Linked DNA regions of Nothobranchius furzeri. The protein of the gene in region 1 interacts with the protein of each later gene in a biochemical or structural test. Links are inferred from orthologs where the notes say so. Each region holds a gene or a part of one and is shown on either strand. Other genes may lie near its edges.

The links.
Region 2: the proteins of chd4b (region 1) and adnpb form a complex in vitro, tested with the Homo sapiens proteins (2 studies listed by BioGRID). The link is inferred for Nothobranchius furzeri from reciprocal best matches to the Homo sapiens genes CHD4 and ADNP.

The regions. Positions count from the first base shown.
Region 1 is NC_091745.1:74,017,835-74,021,650, reverse strand, and holds part of chd4b (chromodomain-helicase-DNA-binding protein 4), read left to right. Parts: intron 1-280; coding exon 281-402; intron 403-480; coding exon 481-654; intron 655-3,816. UniProt on the Homo sapiens protein: ATP-dependent chromatin-remodeling factor that binds and distorts nucleosomal DNA. Acts as a component of the histone deacetylase NuRD complex which participates in the remodeling of chromatin.
Region 2 is NC_091755.1:48,128,715-48,133,219, reverse strand, and holds the start of adnpb (activity-dependent neuroprotector homeobox b), read left to right. Parts: upstream 1-1,621; 5' UTR 1,622-1,828; intron 1,829-4,505. Other genes in the region: dpm1 (dolichol-phosphate mannosyltransferase subunit 1), read left to right, coding at 1-74, 187-291.

The DNA.
Region 1 (3,816 bases):
GTGGGAGCTTGCGCCATGAGGAAGTGCAAGTTTAATGGTAACTGGATGGTTAATCCCACGTTCGCGACGTGGTTAGCACCGGTTCCCGGCAATAGCTGGAAATTATAGCTTTAATTTTTAACATAGCTTAAATTTGGTCAAAGTGGCCTTAAAAAAGCCTTCAAAGTCTTAAATTTGGCTCCCTTAAACCTGCAGATACTCAATGCTTTGCTGTGCTTTATGAATGAGCATATTTTCAGAGATTTCTTGTCATTTTCCCTGTTTTTCTCTCTAATTCTAGTTCTTTAGGCAGTTGAACAACTATTCACTGCAACACAAACTTCTGCTCACTGGAACCCCTCTTCAGAACAACCTGGAGGAGCTTTTTCACCTGCTGAACTTCTTGACTCCAGAGAGATTCAAGTTAGTTGCTTTATGTTTTGTTTTTGTGGTGAAGCTCACAGGGACAGAATTTTAATCATTTGTTCATATTTTTTGCAGTAACCTTGAAGGGTTTCTGGAGGAGTTTGCAGACATCGCCAAAGAGGACCAAATCAAGAAACTCCATGACATGTTGGGACCCCACATGCTCAGGAGGCTGAAGGCCGATGTGTTCAAACACATGCCTTCTAAAACAGAACTCATCGTTCGAGTGGAGCTGAGCCCCATGCAGAAGTAAGTAGGGTTGTCACGGTAACCGGTGTAGCGGTAAACCCCGGTAAAAAAGTTGACGATAATAATAACCGTCTTGTTTTTTAAAAAATATATTATCTCGGTGGATTACCGTGGCTGCGGTATAGGCGCGGTGACTCTTACCAGCCACCGTATCATCTGCTGAAGTTGCCGGCGGCACATGCACACTTTGTCGTCGTCTTCCTCCGCTTATCCGGGTCCGGGTCGCGGGGGCAGCATCCCAACTAGGAAGCTCCAGACTGTCCTCTCCCCGGCCACCTCCACTAGCTCCTCCGGCAGGACCCCAAGGCGTTCCCGGACCAGATTGGAGATGTAACCTCTCCAACGTGTCCTGGGTCGACCCGGGGGCCTCCTGCCGGCAGGACATGCCCGAAACACCTCCCCAGGGAGGCGTCCAGGAGACATCCTGACCAGATGCCCAAACCACCTCAACTGGCTCCTTTCGATCCGGAGGAGCAGCGGTTCTACTCCGAGTCCCTCCCGAATGTCCGAGCTCCTCACCCTATCTCTTAAGGCTGAGCCCGGCCACCCTACGGAGGAAACTCATTTCAGCCGCTTGTATCCGCAGTCTCGTTCTTTCGGTCATTACCCAAAGCTCATGACCATAGGTGAGGATTGGGACGTAGATCGACCGGTAAATCGAGAGCCTGGCTTTCTGGCTCAGCTCCCTCTTCACCACGACAGATCGGCTCAGCGTCCGCATCACTGCAGACGCCGAACCAATCCACCTGTCGATCTCCCGATCCCTCCTACCCTCACTCGTGAACAAGACCCCGAGATACTTAAACTCCTCCACTTGAGGTAGGACCTCTCCCCTGACCTGGAGTTAGCAAGCCACCCTTTTCCAGTCGAGAACCATGGTCTCAGATTTGGAGGTGCTGATCCTCATCCCAGCCGCTTCACACTCGGCCATGAACCTACCCAGCAAGAGCCGAAGATCAGAGCTGGATGAAGCTAGGAGGACCACATCATCCGCAAAAAGCAGAAACGAGATTCTCCTGCCACCAAACTCGACACACTCCACACCACGGCTGCACCTAGAAATTCTGTCCATAAAGTTAATGAACAGAACCGGTGACAAAGGGCAGCCCTGGCGGAGTCCAACCCTCTCCGGGAACAGGTCCGACTTACTACCGGCTATGCGGACCAAACTCACCCTCCTCTGGTAAAGGGACTGAATGGCCCTTAACAGAAAGCCACCCACCCCATACTACTGGATGACCCTGGGGACACGGTCATAAGCCTTCTCCAAATCCACAAAACACATGTGGATTGGTTGGGCAAACTCCCATGCCCCCTCCATCACCCTTGCAAGGGTATAGAGCTGGTCCATAGTTCCATGGCCAGGACGAAAACCACATTGCTCCTCAATCTGAGATTCAACTATCGATCGGACCCTCCTCTCCAGTACCTTGGAGTAGACCTTTCCAGGGAGGCTGAGGAGTGTGATCCCCCTATAGTTGGAACACACCCTCAGGTCACCCTTCTTAAAGATGGGGACCACCACCCCGGTCTGCCACTCCACAGGAACTGCCCCCGATGACCACGCAATGTTGTAGAGACGTGTCTACCACGACAGCCCTACAACATCCATAGCCTTGAGATACCCAGGACGAACCTCATCCGCCCCCGGGGCTCTGCCGCTGTGCAGTTGTTTGACTACCTCAGCAACTTCTGCCCCCAAGATTGGACAGTCCATCCCCAGGTCTCCCGGCTCTGGTTCCTCCTTGGAATGCGCATAGGTGGGATTGAGGAGCTCCTCAAAGTATTCCTTCCACCGTCCGACTATATCCCCAGTTGACGTCAGCAGCTCCCCATCCCCACTGTAAACAGTGTGAGCGAGTTGCTGCCTTCCTCTCCTGAGGCGCCGGACAGTTTGTTAGAACCTCTTTGGAGCCGATCGATAGTCTTTCTCCATGGCCTCACCAAACTCCTCCCACGCCCGAGATTTTGCCTCGGCAACTGCCACTGCTGCACTCCGCTTGGCTATCCGGTACCTGTCTGCTGCCTCCGGAGACCCACAGACCAGCCACGCCCTGTAGGCCTCCTTCTTCAGCCTGACGGCTCCCCGAACCTCTGGTGTCCACCAGCGGTTACGTGGGTTGCCACCACGACTGGCACCGGCCACCTTACAACCACAGCTAGCAACAGCCGCCTCAAAAATCGCAGAGTGGAACAAGGCCCACTCGGAGTCAATGTCCCCCACTGCTCTCGGGACGCGATTAAAGCTCTGCCGGAGGTGGGAGTTGAAGACCATCTTGACAGGTTCTTCTGCCAGGCGTTCCCAGCAGACCCTCACTATGCGTTTGGGTCTGCCAGGTCTACGTGGCATCTTCCCCTGCCATCTGATCCAACTCACCACCAGGTGGTGATCAGTTGACAGCTCCGCTCCTCTCTTCACTCGAGTGTCCAAAACATACGGCCGCAGATCAGATGATACGACTACAAAGTCTATCATCGACCTGCGACCTAGGCTGCCCTGGTACCAAGTATACCGATGGGCATCCTTATGTTCGAACATGGTGTTCGTTATGACCAAACTGCAGCTTGCACAGAAGTCCAATAAGGAAACACCACTCGAGTTCAGATCAGTTCCTCCCAATCACACCCCTCCAGGTCAAGCTGTCATTGCCCACGTGAGCATTGAAGTCCCCAAGCAGGACAATGGAATCCCCCGATGGAGCACTATCTAGCACTCGTCCCAGAGACTCCAAAAAGGGTGCGTACTCTGAACTGATATTTGGCCCATAAGCACAAACAACAGTCAGGACCCGTTCCCCGACCCGAAGGAGGGAAGCTACCCTCTCATCCCCCGGGGCAAACCCCAACACACAGGCAGAGAGTCTTGGGGCTAACAAAAAGCCAACCCCAGCCCTCCGCCTCTCACCCGGAGCAACTCCAGCAAAGGAGAGTGTCCAACCCCTCTCAAGGACTTGGGTTCCAGAGCCAATGCTATGTGTCGAGGTGAGTCCGACTATATCTAGCCGGTACCGCTCAACCTCTGCCACAAGCTCCTGCTCCTTCCCCGCCAGCAAGGTGACGTTCCATGTCCCAAAAACCAGTTTTCTTGTCCGGGGATCGGACCGCCAAGGCTCCCGCCTCGGTCTGCCACCGGATCCACATTGCACTGGACCCTTCATGTTC
Region 2 (4,505 bases), on another chromosome or scaffold:
GTGTGTCTAAAGGTTACGTGTTCCAGATGGAGATGATCGTCCGAGCCAGACAGCTCAACTACACAATTGGAGAGGTGTTGACCTACCACGCTGTTGGGTTCTTTGAATATTTGTACTTTGTATGAGTTCTTCTCAACGTTTCCGCTGAAATTAAACTAAGGTTTATTTTCTCCTCGTCGTTCGCAGGTTCCTATTTCCTTTGTGGATCGGGTTTATGGAGAGTCAAAACTGGGAGGGAATGAGATCGTGTCATTTGTGAGAGGACTGCTCACACTCTTCGCCACGACGTGATCAGCGATGTTCAGAGCTTCTGGGAGCTTTTTTTTTTCCTCGTTCCACAAGTTTGTCTTTAAAACAGAAGTTTCACCAAATTAAAAACAAGAGAGAGACGTTCACCACTTTCTGTAATCATACGGTGACAGGACAACACAGGAGAAGGAAGGTGTTAGCAGTTAAAACTGTGGAAGATGTTCTTTTCTGTAGTTTTCAGAATGCTGAAGAAATGGTGATTCCCAAGTCTTGTCAATCCCATCGCAGAATGTTTCTGGAATTCTTTATTATTACAGTTTGCAAATGCATAAAAATAAACACGTTTTAATTGTAGACTCTTGTTTGTTTATTTTTAATTGATCCAATGGAAATTGTATGCGAATTTAAATGAACTCTTGACTTAAGAAACAGAAACCTGAGACTGATCACACCTGCCATATCCAAAAATTAGAAATTGACTCCATTTATATACTTGTAAGACTTTTAATGTCGGCATACATCAAATACCCAAAAATATCACGGACATGTCTGGATTATCCAGGAAGAAACACTTAAAGGATCTAAGATCTTTGGGAATCCACGTCTGCTATTAAAGGAAACATGCTAAAAGCTGTAGTTTAGAACATAATCTGGGTTTTTGTGTGAGAAGATGTCTGTATTTTTCATTTAATTGGAAACAAACCCTAGACACTTGTATTAAAACATTTTAGAAGAAAAAGTTCATCAGTAACCATCAAATAAGAGGTTTTATAATAACTAGAAATGCAGAGTCCGGTCCCACCTTACAGGAAAGTAGTCCCGGCTGAATGGATGGAGGTATCACAGCGCCACCTAGTGTTGGCCCGGCCTCCAGCTGCGTGCTGAGGCACTGTGCACATCCGAGCCTCCGCAGGGGAGGAGCTACCAGGACGCCCGCTACCGGACCGTAAACGTAACTGCTGCGCCTGGTTGTTTACCCCCGCAGAGAGAGACAGGAAATCAATACCGTCCACAAACTTTAAGACAACGGAGGCATTTATTATTTTAAGCAGATGTTTGCCTAAATGTTCGAACTGATTGGCAAACCAATCATGAGAGCGAGGACCTGGTCTTATTATTTATGCTAATGAGGAATATGTCACTTCCGCTTCTTTGATTTGCGCCATTTTGGATAGGGCAGCTGGTTGGCTGGATGTGTATTGTCTGTCGGGAGAGAACGGGTAAAAAGGAACCCGCTGTTAGAGAATTACGATCAGAGTTGAATTAATTAATTCACCAGAGTGTAAAGTACGTCGGTAGTTGACATGTGTCTACCTTCACCGCTCCAGGAAACGGAGGTTTTAATCGCCCGCCGAAGCTCTCTCTTTCCGTTCTCCGACCACGGGAAAGCGGATAGCCCTCGTCGCTGAGGGGCTGTCGGGCTGGGAAGGTAGACCGACGGCCCGGGTGACTTCTCCCCCACAAAGCACCTGGGAGGGAATTACCGACATATCCGTGCAAGCGGGAGCGTGAATACTCGACCTCGGTCATCCTGAGGTGACACATTTAATTCAGACGGGAGCACTGGATGTAAAAGCAGGTAAACCTGGATGTCCTAATGCCGGGGAGAGTCCACAGATGGTGGCCGCTTGCCGCTGCCTACCTGCGGGACGGGATGGGTGGTGGTGGCTAGTGTTAGTGTGTCGGGGTGGTAAACAAGTTTCATTCTTAAATTAAACGCATCGTGATGTTATTGAAGAACCAAGAGAAAATGCGACAGCTTTCGTTTCAACCCATGTTGTTGGGTGTTAGCTTAGCATGTTAGCTCAGCGCGGCACCACCATCCCTCCTTTGTCAGTTGCAGCAGCTTTTTGCTTTTAACTATCTGGATTCTGTCAGCTGTCTTGGATATTTAACTCATCACGAACACCACGGATGGTCCACAGTTTGTTCTGTTCGTTGCTACAGCGACCGATCTGTCCTGTGGTTATTATGGGATTGTAGGAGAGTGACCACATTAGTGTAAACAGTTTGGTTTTGAACCCGATTGTGAGGAAGTGTTTATGAGGGAGTCCTGGTTGTCTGTGATTAGACAGGTGAGTTCAGGTGTGTGCCTCTAAAGGGGAGCAGTGCTGCCATGGTCACCCTCAGACATCCTGTCACCTTTAATACCGTTTACAGGTGTTGAGCCGTGTGGTGAAACCTCATCAGAGGCATTTAAGACTATTATTCTTCTATTAAAGCGAACATGGATGTCACAAGAAGTGTGACCTCTTAGTAAACGTGGAGGAATGGTAAACATGAGGGTTGAGAACATTGGTTATCACATCCTGTTGGATTATTCGGCAGCATTTAAAGATTTCAAGGCCTCTTTTCTTTCTCTTTAGCACCACTGCAGAATGGGAAACATGTTCTCTGCCAGCAGCCATCGCCACAGCAGAGCAGCCTCTTCCTGCATTTCCTCCCAGTCCTCTTCCTTCTCTCCCTCCTTTCCCTCCTACTCAGCCTCTCCCTGGCTATCTATTCTCCCCTCCCCTGCTCTGCATCGCCCTCTCTTTCTCTCACCCTCTTCCATTTTCTGTCCCTCCAGCCTCCCAGTCCTCCCTTCCCCTCTCCTCTCTGTGTGCCTGACCTCCCTGCCTCCCCCCCCCTCCCCTTACCTCCCTGGCTCACCCCCCCCCCCCCATCTCTCCCCTTGCACTCCTTCTACACTTACCCGCTCACTCCCCCTTCTCTTCCTCCATGCACACTCCCCCCCCCATGATTTCTTTCTCTCACTCCTTCTCTCCCTCCTCTTCCTCTCCCTTCCAACATCACTCTCTCCTCCACTCCCCTCCCCCTCTGCTGCAGACATATTGTAGGGGCTGCTGCTTACTCAATAGGAGGCGCCATTCTGTGATGGTGTTGCAAGGCTGGGAGAAAAGGGGCCAGGCAGAACGTAGGGAGGCTTACATAATGGGAGTCCTCTGCTGCACCATCTACAAGAAAGGGAGGGAAGCAGGAGAAAGGCAGGTAGGGGAGAGGTGGGTCGTTGACTTTTAGGATGCAGGTGGGTCAGCCAGGCAGGTGATGGACCCACAAAAGCATCTATATCTCATTTCCTCAGATTCCTCAAGGGGTAACGAGCTGAGATGTTAACAGGAATTGTTGGAAATGTAGATTGTTGTCCTAGTGTACCAGTGACCTTTGACCTTCCTGCATGAAGCTTTGATTTGAACAGAGCTTGTTTCTTGAGCAATAGAACTAAAACATTTAGCTGAGTCTGGCAAATTTAACAATCTCATTTATACAGATGTTAAAGCATCCTAGAGTTGATCTTGTTGAACATTGGGAGCTAGGGGGATCGGATGCACCATTCCTAAAGTCTGTGCCGTCTCCGACCTGCTTTTTATGTAACGATCAATAGTCATAGACAAACCAACTGAAACTTGCATGTCCCAACCCACCTCAACGTCAGCAGTTTACAAATGTTGGTAGTTAGAATGCTAACCACACAACAACACTAGCCCGAACTACTGCTAACATCCTTGTTGAACGTGAGGAAGACATCCAGGCGTAACGTTCTAGGGTGGACTGGGGTTATCCAGACTACCCCTGAATGCTTATAGAATTATCCATATGATGTAGCATCATTGAGACATCAAGGTCAACTGACCAATCAGTGCTCTGCTTGGTCTTCCTGTTGTAGGGCTTCATTAAGGGGGTGTGGCTGGTCATTTATCAGGGCTCTTGGGTCATTGTGAGCCCCAACAAAGTTTCATTTAAAATGGTTTGTTTGGCTGTTGGCCTGTTCCAGCAGAACTCATAAAAGACGTTGATTCCATTGATTGGATCAGCTGTTGTTGGACTTGAACTTTCTGGTCCGTACCAATTTTTTTTTCTCTTAGTAGGAACAAAAGTCAGTCATCACGGTTGAGATTTAATGTACAACAAATACTTTACATTAGGGCTGCACGATATTAGGAAAACCTGCGATATTCGATAACCGTGCTTAATATTGCGATATCGATATTACTCACGATAAATGAACAAATACTAAAGTATGCAGTGCTGATGTCGTCTGGCGTGTGACGTCTGCTCTGGGTTCAAAGCAAACAAAAACTAATGCATGAATTCCATTACAACATAACATTTTTATTGCAAAACTATGCAGCTGCACCTGCTGCTGTATTAGCAGCTGCACCCGCTACTGTATTAGCAGCTGCACCCGCTACTGTATTAGCAGCTGCACCTGCTACTGTATTAGCAGCTGCAGCTGCTACTGTATTAGCAGCTGC